Linked DNA regions of Canis lupus familiaris. The protein of the gene in region 2 binds, or shares a complex with, the protein of the main gene of each other region. Links are inferred from orthologs where the notes say so. Each region holds a gene or a part of one and is shown on either strand. Other genes may lie near its edges.

Region 1 (3,937 bases), on a different chromosome or scaffold from region 2:
CTGCCTCCGCGTCCTTCTTTCTTCCCGAGAGGCTGCCCAGAAGCCCCGCCGGCTTGCGGCACCGCACCCCCAGCCCTGGCGGGCACAGCCGGGCGCGGGCTGTCGGGGCTGGAGCCACGGGGAAGTGGAGTCAGGAGCCCCTCTGCAGGCACCCACTGGGTGCCTCACTCTCCTCCCTCACCTCCGTTCTGGGAGTCCAGTTCCAGGGAAGCAGGAGGGCTAGGGCAAGGCTCTCTGGAGTGTTTTCCGTGGCTTCTCACTTCATTCACCCTCCGGGGCGCCAGAGCTGTGCCCGACTGCACAGGACGGCGGGTGTGACGGAGCCAGTCCAGGGCGGGCCCTGTGCTGGTGCTCAGCCCTCCTCCCATCCCCCCAGCCAGCCCGGAGGGGCAGGCGAGGAGGCTTCCGGCCCATCCTCATGCCTGCAGTGTCAGCATGGGCCTGGCCGGGCAGATGCCCTTCGCTCTCTGGCTGCAAGCTTAATCTGGGCATGAGGGCTGGGAATGTGGGCACAGGGTAGAGAAAGCCCATGGTCTCTTGCAGGCCCTGAGGCCCCCAACCCCTCCCGGGAGATGCTGCTAGAAGCTTCCTCAGGAGACAGTGGCCGAGCACCGACTAACAGTGGCCAGATCCATCCTGTTCTGCCTCAGGCTCTCAGTTTCCCCTGTAAAGCAGGGTGAAGCCATGGGCCCCCAAGTCTTGACGCTCATTCTACGGAGATTTATGGGGGGAAAGGCAGCTCCAGCAGAAACGCCTAGGCCCTCCCGGGTGGCTGAGCCTTGGGCTGGCATTGCGGGTCCCCGGGAGGGGCACACCAGGTGTCTCCCAATCCCGGTGTCCTTTTGGGGCAGGGCTGGCTCTGGACCCCACAAGGGAGAGAGGGAGTGCCTGGCTCACGGGGCAGAGCCCCCAGATGCCAGAGGCCTCCTGCGGCGTCTGCTGAGCCACTTTGGCAGCCAGCACCACACCAGCCCCGCCAAGTCATGCCCACCAGGGACTCACCTGAGACAAGCACACCACCCACCAGCCCCGTTTTATTCATAGACCTTTTCAGGAAAAGCGAGTGGGGCGGTGCTGACAGGGAGCCCCGTCCACATCTTCGGGGGTCCCCCTTGGCATAGGCCTTAAAAGAGTCGGATCTCTTTTTTTTTTTCCAAGACAAAACAAAAACAAAAACAAAAAACCCAAAACAAAAAAACACAACTTATTTTGCAAAAACACCTCCTCAATAAACAACATGTAAACAGAAACAGCTGCTTTAGGTTCACCAATGTCTCACTGTGTCTTCAAGGGCTTGTCCGTGGCAGGCAGCGGGGAGGACTGGCAGGGGCTGTTTTCTTCCTCCTCGGGGGCCTCCTGGGGGTAGACCACGAAACACAGCTCCTGGCCCCAGCGTGTCATGGACTCTGAGGACAGATGGACAAACAGATAGACCTTGGGTCTGACCCTGTGGGGCAGGGGTCCTCAGGGAGTTGCTCCCTTTGATTGGATTCTGGACACTGGACCACCTCCTGGGGACACTTCCGGTGGCAGCTGGACCCTGATACCACTGCAGCTGCGGGGAGGCCCTGCCCCAGGGCAAGCCCCCGAGAGGGGACGCACTCCGACGCCCACCACCTTGGGGAGGCGGCCCCGGCTCACCTGTGAGTCTGTGCACACACTTTGGTTTGCTTCTCCAGAAGACCCCCAGGAAGAAAACAGGCACCCCAGTGAGGATGATGATCACGCCGACCCCACACACCATGGGCTCCGAGATGAAGCTGAAGACCAGTAGGAATGCCCAGAAAACCAAGTACGCGACAGGGACGAGGAGGTTCACCTGGGGATCAGCCAGCCAGAGGGCCAATGGCGTGGGACCTTCCCTGGGCTCTCCTGCTCCACCACCCCGTGAGGGTGACAGGGTCCTAGGTGCCTCCCACCCTCTCCTGGGAGCTGAGGCTTGAGGGTCCCCCTCTGGCAGCAGCCCAACATGCTAGAAGCCAACTCATGGGATGGCTGATTTGTCAAACGACTTATCAAAGTTACAGTGGCTCTGAGCTCCACACGGCAACTATGTGTCACTGGCTGCTTGCATCTGACTCTCTCCCTATATCTCTTTTTTTTCTCTCTCTCTTTTTGGTGTTTCATATTTTTTCAGGCACTGAGCAGCACTTCTCCAGCTCCAGGATTTATATGCAGACACAATATTTGCATTTTGCTTAGTCTGGGCTCTGCTGTCCTTGTGTGCTCCTGGGATTCTCTGTGACCAGGAGCAAGCATCTTGGCCTCCTTTTCCTGTCTGTAAACTGGGAGTATCGAAAGCCCCCACCTCGTGGGGCTGACACGGGAGCTGAATAGGTCGGTGTACACACAGCCCGGAGCAGGGCCCGATCGCTGTCATCACCTGCCCCCGGTACCCAGGTGACCTAAGGCGGGGGGACAGCCAGCCCGTCCTCCCCCGGGCCTCACCTTGATGGGCCTGTGGAGAGCTGGCCGCCTCCAGCGCAGCACGAGCAGGCCCAGGATGGTGACGCCGTAGCAGAGGTAGTTGATGAAGGACACATAGTTGATGAGCGTGTACGTGTCTCCCACAAGCATGATGATCGCTGTGGCCCCGCACTGGGAGAGGACCGGGCTGAGGGTGGCCTCCCACCTGCCTCCGTCAGCCCCGTGGGCCGCCCTGGGCCCGCCGGCTCGGGCCAAGAGGTTGGTGAGCCCCGGCCCTCCCTGCTCCCTCTGTGGCCCGCACCACCCTCCACCCCCGAGGGCCAGGCTCCCGTCCCTGCCAGTTGGTCCCACGACTTACACAGACGAGGAGGGCAGGGATGGGGGTGCAGCGTCTGACGTGGATCATGGCCAGCAGGCCGGGCAGGTGCCCCTCTCGGGCCCCAGAGAAGCACAGTCTGGGACAGAGATGGGGGCGGGAGCGTGAGCCCGGCCTTGGGTGTCCCGCCAACCAGCTCCCGGACCTCAGCTCCAGACCCGATGTCCCCCTGGAGCTGTCACCTCCGGCCCCTGCCTTCTCCGGGCCCCAGGAGCCCCACCGGGCACTTCTTCCCCACCTAGTCCCGCCTCCTTTTTGCTTTCTGTACCTCAGAGCGGGGGTCGGACTCCTGTCACTGGGGAGCTCATTGTCCCAGCTTCAGCTGGGACCCACCGGGCGGGATCTGACTTCCTCCGGCCCCTGGCGCTGATCATGAGCACCAGGGCTACCTGCCTTGCCTCACCTTGACCACCCCTTTCCCCATCCGGTCACCTGGAGGAGGTGAACAGGTAGCCATTGATCCCTCCAAAAGTGGAAAGTGCCACGGAGACGGGCATGACCCAAGAAAAGTAGCCCAGCAGCTTCTCCCCGAAGGTCTGAGTGGGCACAGAAGAGAGGTGGTGCATGAGGCAGGGCGGGGTGGGCGGGAGGCAGGCACAGGTGGGACCCCACTCACCACAGCCACTGCGTTAGAGGACAGCAGCTCCTGGGGCGACATGGCCGTGAAGTAGGCGATGTTGGTGAAGGTGTACACAAAGGTCACCAGTGGGATGGAGATGACAATGGCACGAGGTAGGTTCCTGGGGGCAGCAGTGGGTAGGTTCCTGGTCAGTGGCAGCCCCCGGGGTTGCGGGGAGACTGGGAGGCAGCGCCCGGAGGACCCAGCACAGGAACGCTTTGAATCTCCATCTCCTGGGTCTGCTGTGGGCCCTGGGACAGGTAAGGGGCACCACCGCCATCTCCCTGCGGCCCCCCTGGGCCCCAGTCTGGGCACAGACTGGTGGAGGAAGGGCAGGTGGGTGGGGAAAGGGCCGCATCAAACTCTGGGGGGGCAGGTCTAGTGCTGGCACAGGAAGAGAAAAGCACATCCAGGCCCAATCGGCCATGAAGATCCTTGAAAAGTGTCCCTAGGGCCCAGTCCCTAGACCCGGGGTCCCCTGGGGCTGCCCTATCTGCGCCAGCCCCAGCTGCGAC
Region 2 (4,236 bases):
GTGAACACCCCTTCCTCTAAAAGGCCTCCTTCTGCGCCTTCTACTCCACACTATGTACTCACACTCCAGCTGCACCAGCGATTGTCAGTGGCATTCAAATACTGGGTCACTAGGAATTCTGTATGCCTCCCAGTGATATCAGGGCTCGACAAGTATGAGCTAGTCAACAACAGGTCTTTGGTGGAGCCAAGTAGGCTCAAGATCTGCTGAAGGTCAGAGGACTCAGTCCCCGCAATCAAGAGCCTGCACAGAGCAAGAAAATAGGACAAAGTTTGTAAAGAGCAAGAAAAGAAAAAAGGTGAAGAAGGTTCTTGGACTAGGGATCCCCCCATTCCTGGGGCCTAGCACTCAGCTGAGGAGTTCCCATGGGGAAGCTGAGTTGGCAGGGGAGGTCTGGCACCTACCTATCTTCACTGAAGCTCTTGGTGACGTTCTGCCATTCAGCCAAGTACAAAGATGCATCCTAGAAGGAAAAAAAGCAGAGTCAAGGAGGAGCAAACACTACCAAGCCCTGGAAAGTCCCTCTGCTCTGACCCAGGCTCTGCCTCTCACAGGGAAAAGGGACTTACCGTCAGATTCTCCACGTTCCGAACCTGGAACCCATCCACACCAGCCCGCAGCCAAAAACTCAGAGCAAACTACAGGGAAGGGGGCAAAAGAAAACAGACAAAAGGTATCAACACTCCGATGCAAAAGCTTACAAAATCCAGCCCACGTCAAACCATGACCACCACGCACTTCTCCATGACCTTGGGAGAGTCACTTGCCTTGACCAGCCTCAGCCTCCCTTAACCACCTCTATCATAAAGGTTTAGCCTTCGGTTCCCTCCCTTTTTGAACTATCACTGATTCTTAACAGTACAGCATTTCACTTCTCTGTTCCACCTCAGGGCAAATCACACGGCTTCCCCTTTGGACTCCTATAGGAAAGGCCCAAGAGAAAAGGTACATTCATAAAAATAACTTCATTTAATCCTAAGCATGTGTGGCGATGCCTGGGCGTTTCAGCGGTTGAGCATCTGACTTCGGCTCGGGTAGTGATCCCGCGGTCCCAGGACTGAGCCCTACATCAGGCTCCCTTGCTTGGAGCTTGCTTTTCCCTCTGCCTGTGTCTCTGTCTCGCTCTCTCTATATCTCTCATGAATAAATAAAATCTTTTTTAAAAATTTTTTAATTAAAAAAAAAAAAAAACCCAGGCAGCCCAGGTGGCTCAGCGGTTTAGCGCCGCCTTCAGCCCAGGGCCTGATCCTGGAAACCTGGGATCGAATCCCACATCAGGCTCCCTGCATGGAGCCTGCTTCTCCCTCTGCCTGTGTCTCTGCCTCTCTCTCTCTGTTTCTGTCATGAATAATAAATAAATAAAATCTTTAAAAATAAATAAATAAATAAAATAACCCTTAGCATGTGTGGAATGCTTATATACTCATTTCAGAAATGACAAAGCACTCTCAGAGGAGCAAGGAAGCAAGCCCACAACCACAGTCAGAGAGCAGCAGACACAGGGAATGCAAGCCAAGATCCCAAGACAAATGTCCATTATTTCTCTCCCAGTGTCCTGAGGTCTGGGGAGGGTAGGAGTGAGAGAGCAAGGCCCAAGAGGAAAGAGTGAAATTCAAAGCACAGCCCCAGGGCAGTCTTGATGAAGATCTGAAAAGAGGAGTCAGCTCTGCAGCACAGGGCCAGGCCTGAAGTGAGGGCATTGATGAAGGCAGAACATTGGGGCCCACCTCCACAGCCCTGTCCCCTTTCTCAATCTGGTCCCTGTGCTCTCTCTCCTCATCTCCATTTTCATCTGAGGCTACTAGTCCTCATGCCATACTGTCTGAAACATTCCTTCATCAATAACTTTTAAGAGACTTTATTTTTTTTTTTAAGATTTTATTTGTTTATTCATGAGAGACATGGGGGATGGGGGCAGAAATATAGGCAGAGGGAGACACAAGCTCCATGCAGGGAGCCCGATATGGGACTCGATCCCAAGACTCCAGGATCATGCCCTGGGCCAAAGGCAGGCACCAAACCTCTGAGCCACCCAGGGAGCCCGAGACTTTATTTTTTTAAGTAATTTTTTTAATTTAAGGAATTTTTTAAGTCAGCTCTACTGCCAATGTGGGGCTCAAAGTCACGACCCTGAGATCAAGACTCTAGGATGCCTGAGTGGCTCAGCGGATGAGCCTCTGCCTTTGGCTCGGGGCATGATCCTAGGGTCCAAGGATAGAGTCTCCGCATCGAGTTCCCTATGAGGAGCCAGCTTGTCCCTCTGCCTATGTCTCTGCCTTCTCTCTATGTCTCTCATGAATAAATAAAATCTTAAAAAAAAAAAAAAAAAAAGGAGTCACATGCTCTATCGACGCAGCCAGGCACCCTTCCTATCAATAACTTTTTTTTTTTTTAAGATTAATTTATTGGGCAGCCCCAGTGGCCCAGCAGTTTGGCGCCGCCTTCCGCCCAGGGTGTGATCCTGGAGACCTGGAATCGAGTCCCACATGGGGCTCCCTGCATGGAGCCTGCTTCTCTCCCTCTCCCTCTGCCTGTGTCTCTGCCTCTCTCTCTGTCATGAATAAATAATTTTTTTAAAAAATCTAAAAAACAAAGATTTATTTATTTATTCACAAGAGACAGAATGAGAGAGAGAGATGCAGAGACACAGGCAGAGGGAGAAGCAGGCTCCCCACAGGGAGCCCGATGCGGGACCTGATCCCGGATTCCAGCAGGCACCCAACCTCTGAGCCACCCAGGCATCCCCCTATCAATAACTTTTAAAGAGCTGAACTAGATGACCCTAAGGGTCCTATAGAAATTTAAGTAAAGAATTCTATTTCAGGAGGATCCCTGGGTGGCTCAGCGGTTTGGCGCCTGCCTTTGGCCCAGGGCAGGATCCTGGAGTCCCGGGATTGAGTCCCACATCGGGCTCCTGGCATGGAGCCTGCTTCTCCCTCTGCCTGTGTCTCTGCCTCCCTCTCTCTCTCTCTCTCTCTGTGTCTGTGTCTATAATAAATAAATAAATAAATAAATAAATAAATAAATAAATAAATAAATCTTAAAAAAAAAAAGAATTATATTTCAGTATCACGGGGGCCAGCAAAGAGTCTGGATCTGCTTCATTTTTATTCTATCCCTGCTGAACTTGTCAATATCCCAGGACCCAATATCCCATTAGGAGCTTGGATGACAAAGTCCCATTCCCAGCCTGCCCTCTTTGCACCTATACCTTCATTCAGTGAAGGCAAATTACCGAAATGAGATTACTTAAGACCTCAAGTCCTAAGCACAACAAGCTCCTCTGAACCTTAGTTAGCTTCTTCGTTTACAGATGAGAGGTGACAGGGACTTTGTGTGGTCACAGAGAAATTGAGAACACATACAAAGTACTTGGCATTGTCCTGCACACATAAGACCACAATGCTTACAATTTCAGACTGGGCTCCACTCCAAAACACATCAAACAAGAACTGGGAAACCAGACAGAACAGGAGTCCCACAGAGAAATGGCTTCCTCTCCCAAAAGGAAGGAAAATCAAACCCAGAGTAACATCTGAGAAGTTCCTTTCCTGGCACTGTTACCATCAGAATCAAGGAAACAAGATAAATACATGGCCAGAAAAGGAACAAGCAAAGACAGATTGCCCTGTTGGCCTACCCTCCTGCCTGTGGGAGGAGTGAGCCAGTTTGGTTCCCAGGAGCAAGAAACCCCTCAGCGGGGCAGCCCAGGTGGCTCAGCGGTTTAGCTGAAGGTTTCTTGCCGCCTTCAGCCCTGGACATGATTCTGGAGACCTGGGATCAAGTCCCACATCGGGCTCCCTGCATGGGGCCTGCTTCTCCCTCCCTCTGCCTGTGTCTCTGTCTCTCTCTGTGTGTCTCTCACAAATAAATAAATAAAATATTTTAAAAAAAGAAAAAAGAAAAAGAAACCCCTCAGCTAGAGCCAGGCTGGATTTATGGGGCTTGCCAGCGGGATCAACACAGCCCCAGCATCAAGCTCCCACCTGCTGTCAGCACCAACACACTCACCTTCATCTTGGCAGCCACAGCGTCAATCTCTGTGGGGAGGAACCATGAGTCCTGGCCCTTGTAGTTGGGAGTGAGGTCCAGAATGACCCGGATGCCTGGAACAATGGAGGAAAAGGTAGTCGTGAAAAAGACTTTGGAGTTAAAAGGAAAAAAATCAACAAACACAAGGTGGTAGACTATTCCCTATGTATCATGTGGCACAAAACTTAGATTTGAGCCCAGCTT
Region 3 (3,827 bases), on a different chromosome or scaffold from region 2:
GGTCTAGGAGGCTTAGGCTTAGTGCACAGAGCTCTGGAGAAGAAGATGAAGCAGGAAAGGGTGGGTGCCTTCCCAAGAGACTTCTGAGGAGAGGAGAACTGCTGGTGTTTGCACACAGACCCTAGTCTTGGAGGCATAGGCAACCTGACAGCCATTCTGCAGGAGCTGTTCTGAGTAGAGGCCAGTGGGGAGCCTCGAACTGGTGGTGCCCAGGCTTAGGGAAGGTGGGAGACTAGGGCAGTCTGCTGGCTGCCTGGAGACCCAGGAGGAGACAAGGTGACTGTCTCCTGGAATAGGAGTCTCCTGAGGACACTGGGAGCCCTACTGAGGCAGCACCTGGCATAGGGGAGCAGAGTGAGGCCTTGAGGTCTGCTTGGCCGGGTCGGTGGGATTCTCAGCACTGACCTGTTGGGTAACCTCCCATAGAGTCGCTAACCCTGGTGAGCCAGAAGATGTGTGTGGCTGTGTACCCCGAGATGGATGCGGGCTCGAGGACAGAGGAAACGAATGAGGACACAGAGGAGCAGCGGCAGCCCATCTACCAACCCACTGCCTCCAAGGACAAGGAGCAGCCCCAGCCCTGAGGACTGCCATCCCCTCTCAGCTGGCTCCTCCCTCCTACACTCCCTCTTCCCCTCCTTTCCTGCCTAGGTCCCCCCAGCACACACACACACACACACACACACACACACACACACACACACACCTCTGCTTCTGTCAAGCAGGGGCAGGACCTGGGTGTGTGTGATAAGAAACTATAAACAAAGACATTGACATTTGTACCCAAAGAACCAGCCTCTCAGCACCAGGGCCTGTATCCAACACCCTCACTAGGGCTGCTCTAAGCAGTGGGAGAAGTGTGGAGCTGCTGGGGGTACCCTACAGGGCCTTCCGCACTCCTCCACTTGCATCCTTGGGAGCCCAGTTCAATACTGCCTTCCCCCCACCCCATTCCTGAGCCCAACAGAGGCCTCTGCTCAGAGAACTGGAACAGAACAACAGTGAATCAGTTGGGGAGGGACAGACTCAAGCAAATCTGTCGTCATTAAAGGTCAGCTGGAGAGAGCTATATCACCCTCCCTTCACTAGGGACCCAAGAAATCAGAGCGATACTTCCCTCTCACCCTCTCCTCTCCCCCTCCTCATGGTAACATACCCCCACCCCAGCTTGGGCTCCCTGTCCAGAGCAAGGTTCCTGTCAGGACACCACCTCCCTACTGAGCTATGGACCAATGAGCAGGAGAACTGCCCCCTCCTCCTAGCCCCAAGCCAGGCCTGTGGAACAGATTGGGAAAGGCTCAGATTGCAGAAACCCAGCCCTGCCCCTCTCTCCTGCATCCTGACCCCCACTCGGTGCCAAAGCTTCTTGAAGCCAGAAAGTCTTCTTATTTTCAATGTAGTGGACGTTTCTCTCCTAATGGCAAAGCTGCTCAGCTCCTCCTCCCTCCCTGCTCCACCGAGGAGCGGTCACTCCATTACCCCTGCAGCTACACCCCCAACATACCCCCATGGAGCCAGCACTGCCAGCACCCCCATCATGCCCTCACCCTCCTCTCCGGCTTGGCTGTGGGACCAACCGGTGTGAGGGCTCCCTCAGCCCTTCAGGCCCGAAAGCCAAGCCAAATCAGCCTTAAATCGCCTCCCATCCAAGAACTGGACCTAAAAATACTCCCTGATTTCTAGCCCTCAGGACAGACTTGGTATGAAAAACCTTCCTGGAATGGAGGGTGCTTTCTCACCCACCTCCCAGAAGTGCCCATCCCCTAACCTCGGAGACTGGGGAGGGAGTGTCTTCTGAAGGCCAGTTCCTTCTTCCTCCCCCAACCCCAACACCCCCCTTTCTGGTCCCACCGCTGCCCCCCTGTCTTCAGACAGCCTCCCACGCAGGATGAAAGGGCAGTGGCTGAAGGTACCCATCTTGGAGACACGTTCTCTTTGGTATATGGACTTCTGGCCGTCCTGTGGGCAGAGGGTGCCTTTCCCTGCCCTCCAGAGGAAGGCCACCGTGTTTACCCTGGGCCTTGCAGCCTCCCTGCCATACCTGCTGTGCTAAGCAGGAGTCCCCCCTTCCCTACCTCCGCGTACTATCTGCTTAGACTAGAATATGTGGGGAATCCTCCTGGCTTGCTTGGCTCTCCCAGCTTCCCTCCTCACCTGCCTGACACCCCTACCCCCACAAGGTTGGTGAGATGTCAGGTTTAGTTTGAGTTCTGGTCCCTTCTGAGTGGACCCCAGGTGGGCTGGGGCTGGCCCCTGGCGGGTCAGGGGACCATCCTCTTGTTCCCTCTTCTCATTCCTCCAACCTCCATCCCTCCTTCAATTGTTGGGGTTTATTTGTCTGTTTGTTTCATAAAGTGAATGCCTTACTTTTTGGATAAATATTTTTGAAGCTGGCATTTTTATTTCTTTTGGATTTTTTAATGTAAGGTTGTTTGGGATGGGGAAGGCATTAGTTATACCTGGAGAATAATCTTCCATTGTTGAGTTGGTTCAGAGTTAGAGTTTGTTTTGTGGAGGGTTTGTTTTTTTTTTTTTTTCTTTTGATGTAATAAAATTTTAAATGGAAATGAAGGTGGTGGTGGTGACAATTCAATGGTCTTCTGAGACAGAGTCCCCAGGCATTTCCTATCTTCATCAGGAGGTCTCTGGTTGCCAGGTTCCTTCCAGGATGACATTCCCAAAAGCCCTTGCTCTGTCCCAGGGACCCGGTGCCAGCACATTCAAACATCTATCTCTCAGGTTTTGGGGGGAGGAGTTGGTTTTTGTTTTTTAACTACCTCTCATTTCTTCAGTGAAGTCACAAAGTGTTAAGTAAGTTCCTGCTCTGTGCACTGCATTGAGAGCCTGGAAACTAGCTAGGGAGAAGAACCGCGTTACTGCACAGGTGGGAAGGTGGAGGACAGCACCGAGCTGAGTGGGGGGAGGCAGAGGCAGAGTGGCTCCAGAACTGCTCGGCAAAGACTTCTGGCCCTGGGGCAGCTGGCACCAAGTAGGAAAGGAAGGGACAGGCTGAGCCTGTGGAGAGATGCCAGGGGGACTTAGGAAAGCACCCAGCCAGACCCAAGGGGTTTGACAGGAGGGATTAGGAGGTGAGGCGGAGTCCCCTCAGCTGCATGGAATCGAATGAGAGAAACGTGTCTAGTCAAGGACTAGGAAGGCTGTTGAGTGAGGACAAAGGAACAGGTACAGTAGGGACACATCTGCTGGTGATTTAGGGTTAATTGCTGGAGGAAGTTGATGGGATTAGACCCAGTCCTTGCTTGGAGTGCCTCCTTTGTGGGCAGCTCTCCCTGTTGCCTGACCTGGGGTGGCAGTACTCCAGAGACAGCACTTCTGACAGACATGGGGGGGGGGGTGTTTGTTATGACATCATCCTCCACCATCTGGGATACGTGAGGACACAGGCAGACAAGACGCCTCCACTCCCAGTCCCGGGCCAGCCCCAACACTCCTCATCTGTGGCTGGCATTCTTCTAGAGGCCGGAGGCGTGCCAGTCACAGGGGCACAGAGGCTTGGCTCTAATTTCCAGGTCAGCAGCCACTAAACAGCTGTGTGTCCTTGGGCAAGTCACTTAACCTATTTAGCACTTTCTTAAAAAAGAAAAGGGGGGGGGAGGATTGAACCTAATCAAAACCAAGCAGAGGCTAGTCTTATGCAAGAGGCTGTTCTCCAGGTCTCAAATCCACCCTTTTGAACCCCCTCTTCCCCACTACACACACTTTTCCTTTCCATGGGCTGCCAGCATATTCTCCATGTTGCCCCATTGCCCTCTCCAGTGCCTTCTCACACTGTGGAGACACTTGTTCCTCCTATCCGCCACCACCAG
Region 4 (4,716 bases), on a different chromosome or scaffold from region 2:
AAACTCAGAAACCCCGCGCATTTAGTGAATCCCAAAGCCCCTTTTCAATATTGTTGGATAAGCTACATATGTAGACTTAAATTTCTGTGTAAAGACACGAGATGAAACAGCACTTCTAGTAACTTGAGGAACTTTACCGTGCATCTGTACTGGCTTCCTTGTTACTTGGTAAGTTGTATCCTTCAGGGTCATTTTTGGTGTACCAAAAAATGAGTGTAATGTCTGGATATTCAGATAAAGTGGGGTTTTGAGAAACCTTTAAGAGGAATCAGTTTTAACTAGAATTTTTACTTTACCTGCCTGAGAGGAAAGCAAGGTAAGATTATCAATTTATAATATTTACTGATTTTGTCTTCCGTTTTTCTAAGAAAACTTTACAAAATAGAAGAGAAAACCCCCGTATGCTCATTTTTTTCTATTTCAACAGGCATTAAGACACACTCTGTTTGAAAGTAACAAATCCTCTTTCTTCTCAATTATAGAAGTTCGCCAAATATGAATGCTTCTTTGTCTCTCCTCTCTCCTTTCTCTTCCTTCCCTCCCTCCCTTTCTCCTTTCTCCCATCCACCTTTCTTTTCTCCTTCCTCCATTTCCTTCCTTCCTCCTTTCTTCCTCCCTTCCTTCTTTCTTTCCTTCCTTCGTTTCCTTTTTCTCTTTCTCTTTGTCCTTTTATCCTCTATAAAGAGAAAAATTGGGGAGTACTTTCAGAAATAGTGTTTTAGGTTTTAGGAGCTCTATTTAAAAGAAAACAGTGCTCTTTTGTTGGTAGTAGGAACATGAGTCCAATTTTTTTCAGGCCAATGCTGGATCTCCTTAACTAAAAAAATCATGCTTTTTATATGATGACTCATTTATCACAGAATCATTTGCATAAAAAAGGAAAGAATAAGTGGATGATGAAGTGGAGAACAGAGTTGCATTAAATTATTTTCAGTATGTAAGTGCTTTATATTGGAGAAAGAAAAAGAATTTTATTTTTTATCCTTCCTCTGATAAAGTAATGCACTTTGCTATTAACAATAGCAAATGCTATTAACAATAGTCCTGCCTTTTAGCTTCAAGCACAGGTAAAATATTTCCCTAAGCCTCCCGTGGAGATTATTTGGGGTTCCAGTCTTCCCTGATCATTCTCAATCATTACTCCTTTGAAACATTTCTTCATTAGTAGCCCCCTAATTAACTTTATATGGGATCTTCTGATCCCTTATTTTCCCATCTTTGACTTTTTCAAAAATGAAAATTGTTGTATTGATTTTTCACTAAAAATACTGCATGTCTGTTATTAGAATTATTATATGCAGGAAAAGAAATAAAAATAGAATATTCAGTATTCTATCATCTATAGATACCTTCTATAGATGAAGTGTTTGTTAGTGTTTTGATAAACACTCTTTCAGATTTTTTCCCTTCATTTCTTTCTGTCTTTGTGTATTCATCTATCCATCCATCCATCCATCCATCCATCCTTCTCTCCGTAACTTGCTGTACTGGTCAGTAATATATCATGAACATCCTTTCATGCAATACATATTTAACTGTATCATGATTTTAAATGACTGCATAGTAAATCATTAAAAAGATATACCTTAATTAGCCTTCCTTTAGAAGGCTTCCTTTAAAAAATTTAAAAAAAAATTTGCTTGCACTAATTCTAAAGTTCTAAAATGAGCTAGTGATTATACAAGGCAATGGAAACTATGAAGATAAGGGATGATTGTATAATAGGAAAACTTCCTATTGCAACTAGAACGATAAAAACCGTGTTTTGTTTTGTCCCCTGAGAAGTATGTTCATACAATTGGGTAATTTGTTTAGGAGGGATATACTTCTATAAAAGTAAAGCTTATAGATAATAACTGCAAATGTCAGGTATGAGCAGCTTTGGGTAGGGATGAGGGGGTGTGTAAATACTTAATATAAACTTCTGGAAAGAGTATAAAGTTGAAATCTGTGGTTTAGAAGAACCTGCAGAAGTCATTCCAGCCAAGTATAGGAGGCAAGGTCTTAGAGTATCACCATTAATTTCATGCCTTCTTGGCTGAAGTTAGTTTTTTTAAACTGAGGATTCATTTATTCAACAAAATTGTGTTGATTAGCTTTCTGGGCCAAGCATGGAGCTGGACACGAGCATACAGGGATAGAAAATGCTTGTTCTATCCCTAGGGTTCTCATGGGCTACCACTGGGGGAAGACTGGATAGTTGAATGCTTCTTAGGAAACTGCAGACGGCGTCATTAAGAAAGGGAAATTCTGATGGCTTCAGAACCAAGGTGTGTCCTAGTCCGGGAACTCTTTTGAACTCATTACTTATAACTTTTTTCCTAAGTCCCCAAACACATCTCAGAAGTCTATATTTTTAAGGTAGGTTGAAAGTCAGTCCTTCCGGTGCTAATTGGAATGTAGAGAGGAAAACCAGAGTGCTGGCTAGGGCTAGTTCTGAGAGTGAAGAATAAGGTACTAGACAACTTTTTGACGTTTTACCATTTCTTGAGTGATTCCATACTGGCAGGTGCGTATGTGTAACATCATTATAGGAGGAAATAGTTGCCTGACTTACCAAGCTGGAGAGTCATATTCAGCAATTTGATTGCATATTATGATGACTTCAGGATTTGGTTAGAAGGTATTTATACCTGATTTTTAGGAAACTACAGTATATGCCCACTCTTACTGACATATACAAGGACCGAGAGATGAATTTTTACTGTCCAGGGTTTTATCTAAGCTTCTTCAACTTCAATGTGCATAAAAGTCACCTAGACATCTTGTATTTAAATCTGGGGCAGTGCCTGAAATTCTGCATTTCCAAAATGCCTCCAGATAATGCCAACTTTGCTGGTTAAATGGATGGCACTTTGAATAGCAGGGACCTAAGGTGTCTTCATGCCAATGAGAATTCACCTTTTGTAACTTCATCTATTTGTTTGCAGCTGTAGTGATGGTCCTCAACAGCATGAGTGTCAGCTGGAGCGCCCGGATCCAGATTTTCCTAACCTTTTGCAAGCTCACAGCAATTCTGATAATTATAGTGCCTGGAGTTATGCAGCTAATTAAAGGTATGGACTGGAAAGTAAATGCTTTTTAAAATACGTATCTGCTTTTGATCTTTCCTTGCACTAACTTTCGCTTGTCCTAGCAGAATCCCTTAATTAGTCTCGTTTCTGGAACTTAGACTCTACACTGTCATCTAATTGATTTGAAAGACTGCTGCATGGTGGTGGTGGGGGGGGCGGTGCATTGGTATTTACAGCTGAATGGCAGCAAGAGAATTAAGACTGGCCAACCAACAAAATAAAGCATCAGTGAATTCTATCCATATAAACTCTTTGGAGTGAGAACTTGAAGTGGAAAAACAAATCTGCCATTAGTTTTAACTACTGACAACTATACCTCTTACATTTACTTTAAACTAGTTCATTAATATAATAATAATAATAATAATAATAATAATAATAATAATGACTAAGGAGAAAGGATATCTGGAAAATAATGAAAGATGACCATAATTCTTTTACTCTATGGCTATAACTGCTTTTACCTTGAGAATAGAGTCTTGACAGAAGGAGAGATTATATGGGAAGAGCATTCCTAAAAACCAAATATTATCTGATAAAAAATGTTGTAAAAACTTAATTTTTATTGTTACATTATCTTTAAAGTAAAACATTCATTTCTATGGATATGTAATATTATTTGGGGGGAGTATTTGCCTAATAGATTTGACTGTTTAAGAGGAAAAGATGAAATGGTTGAAGAGGTGATGTTATTTAGAGTTTCAGTTATTCTAGGGAAGAAGGTACATGTAATTGCTTGAATCCAGTGGAACTTGTTGGAAAAGTATGAGATCCAGGTGAGTTATTTAATTAGCAATGGACTTAACAGTAGAAAATAGGAAAGTGAGATGGAATTGTGAAGGAGTGACATAATTTAGGAATGTTAAGTATTTAATGTTTACATTGATATTGTCCATTCCAGGAAAGGGAATTTATAGAGAAGTGTTATGAAGTTGTAGGAGAAGAATTACACAAAGCAAAAGGAAATGCCCAAATCCAGCAAAATCATCACTGATGGTAGAGGCCTCAAACAATAACAAACATTGAAAGATCCGTCACTCTGTAGCTAGGGAAAAGGAGCTGCTATTGTCCATTTACTAATGGAAGATCTTAGAACTCTCCTGGCTAAATGGTTGAATCAAATCCAACAAGTTCAGCCAACTCAGAGTAAACACAATAAAGATTTTAATGCTATGCCCAACACCAAAGAGAAGACATGAGCTTGCTCTTCTAATTCACATTGGCCACCACAGAGCTGGCCTGCTCATTTTATCTGATCCATTATAAATATAGAGAAAATAACCTGTTTTGTTAGTGCTTTCTTTTTCTGGCTAACTCTTCAGTCTTCTCTAAGGAGTTTCTTCCATTTTTGGAAAGTGCAGAGACCCTGAGTCATTGACCCTACTTTAGTTCTAGTTTAGGTTCCAAAAGATGATATACTGTTCCTTAAAACTACGTTTTTTTCTTTCTTTTTGATGTAAAACTGTAGTCATTTTTTTTTTTACCACCTATTTATATATGTATGTGAGATGAGGTGAAGTTTTCCAAACGTTATTTTATTGGAAATTCCTTAAGAGCAGAGATCATAATTTATCTTTTGGATCTTTTTCAACACTTAAAGTAGAATGATTCTTTAATTAATATCTATGCTATCAGTGCTTAA

Evidence for each region.
Region 1: the proteins of SLC3A2 (region 2) and SLC7A10 are in contact, whole or in part, in a cryo-EM structure (PDB 8WNT), measured with the Homo sapiens proteins. The link is inferred for Canis lupus familiaris from reciprocal best matches to the Homo sapiens genes SLC3A2 and SLC7A10. Residues at the interface, in NP_002385.3 of Homo sapiens: Phe161, Thr162, Gly163, Leu164, Lys166, Leu169, Leu170, Val172, Ala173, Trp178, Arg182, Leu186, Phe189, Trp190, Trp193, Met196, Leu197, Ala200, Ile203, Ile204, Ala207, Pro208, Arg209, Cys210, Arg211, Glu212, Leu213, Arg534; in NP_062823.1 of Homo sapiens: Leu147, Val150, Phe151, Asn153, Cys154, Pro157, Ala160, Val163, Leu164, Met166, Ala167, Met170, Leu171, Trp174, Ser352, Val359, Glu481, Thr484, His485, Trp486, Gln488, Glu489, Leu490, Phe492, Val493, Val494, Tyr495, Gln497.
Region 3: the proteins of SLC3A2 (region 2) and SLC7A8 are in contact, whole or in part, in a cryo-EM structure (PDB 7CMI), measured with the Homo sapiens proteins. The link is inferred for Canis lupus familiaris from reciprocal best matches to the Homo sapiens genes SLC3A2 and SLC7A8. Residues at the interface, in NP_002385.3 of Homo sapiens: Thr162, Gly163, Leu164, Ser165, Lys166, Glu167, Leu170, Ala173, Gly174, Trp178, Arg182, Leu185, Phe189, Trp190, Trp193, Met196, Leu197, Gly199, Ala200, Ile203, Ile204, Ala207, Arg209, Cys210, Arg211, Leu213, Lys532, Arg534, Asp558, Gln559; in NP_036376.2 of Homo sapiens: Leu147, Leu150, Phe151, Pro152, Thr153, Cys154, Phe155, Pro157, Ser159, Gly160, Leu163, Leu164, Ala166, Ile167, Leu170, Leu171, Trp174, Gln294, Ser352, Met356, Val359, Glu481, Thr484, Leu485, Gln488, Lys489, Met490, Cys491, Val492, Val493.
Region 4: the proteins of SLC3A2 (region 2) and SLC7A11 are in contact, whole or in part, in a cryo-EM structure (PDB 7P9V), measured with the Homo sapiens proteins. The link is inferred for Canis lupus familiaris from reciprocal best matches to the Homo sapiens genes SLC3A2 and SLC7A11. Residues at the interface, in NP_002385.3 of Homo sapiens: Glu167, Leu170, Ala173, Trp178, Thr181, Arg182, Phe189, Trp190, Trp193, Met196, Leu197, Gly199, Ala200, Ile203, Ile204, Ala207, Arg209, Cys210, Glu212, Leu213, Lys299, Arg534, Gln559; in NP_055146.1 of Homo sapiens: Leu151, Phe154, Phe155, Ile156, Gln157, Cys158, Glu159, Pro161, Leu163, Ala164, Leu167, Ile168, Ala170, Val171, Thr174, Val175, Val178, Gln217, Gln219, Val360, His373, Thr487, Gln489, Ile490, Ile491, Glu493, Val494, Val495.

Annotation. Positions count from the first base shown.
Region 1 is NC_049222.1:119,764,629-119,768,565, reverse strand, and holds the end of SLC7A10 (asc-type amino acid transporter 1), read right to left. Parts: intron 3,544-3,937; coding exon 3,420-3,543; intron 3,340-3,419; coding exon 3,236-3,339; intron 2,883-3,235; coding exon 2,786-2,882; intron 2,599-2,785; coding exon 2,449-2,598; intron 1,820-2,448; coding exon 1,642-1,819; intron 1,407-1,641; coding exon 1,276-1,406; 3' UTR 1,186-1,275; downstream 1-1,185. UniProt on the Homo sapiens protein: Associates with SLC3A2/4F2hc to form a functional heterodimeric complex that translocates small neutral L- and D-amino acids across the plasma membrane. Preferentially mediates exchange transport, but can also operate via facilitated diffusion.
Region 2 is NC_049239.1:54,328,034-54,332,269, forward strand, and holds part of SLC3A2 (4F2 cell-surface antigen heavy chain), read right to left. Parts: intron 4,107-4,236; coding exon 4,012-4,106; intron 639-4,011; coding exon 570-638; intron 464-569; coding exon 405-463; intron 244-404; coding exon 63-243; intron 1-62. UniProt on the Homo sapiens protein: Acts as a chaperone that facilitates biogenesis and trafficking of functional transporters heterodimers to the plasma membrane.
Region 3 is NC_049229.1:3,551,486-3,555,312, reverse strand, and holds the end of SLC7A8 (large neutral amino acids transporter small subunit 2), read left to right. Parts: intron 1-426; coding exon 427-584; 3' UTR 585-2,478; downstream 2,479-3,827. UniProt on the Homo sapiens protein: Associates with SLC3A2 to form a functional heterodimeric complex that translocates small and large neutral amino acids with broad specificity and a stoichiometry of 1:1.
Region 4 is NC_049240.1:5,032,811-5,037,526, forward strand, and holds part of SLC7A11 (cystine/glutamate transporter), read left to right. Parts: intron 1-2,930; coding exon 2,931-3,056; intron 3,057-4,716. UniProt on the Homo sapiens protein: Heterodimer with SLC3A2, that functions as an antiporter by mediating the exchange of extracellular anionic L-cystine and intracellular L-glutamate across the cellular plasma membrane.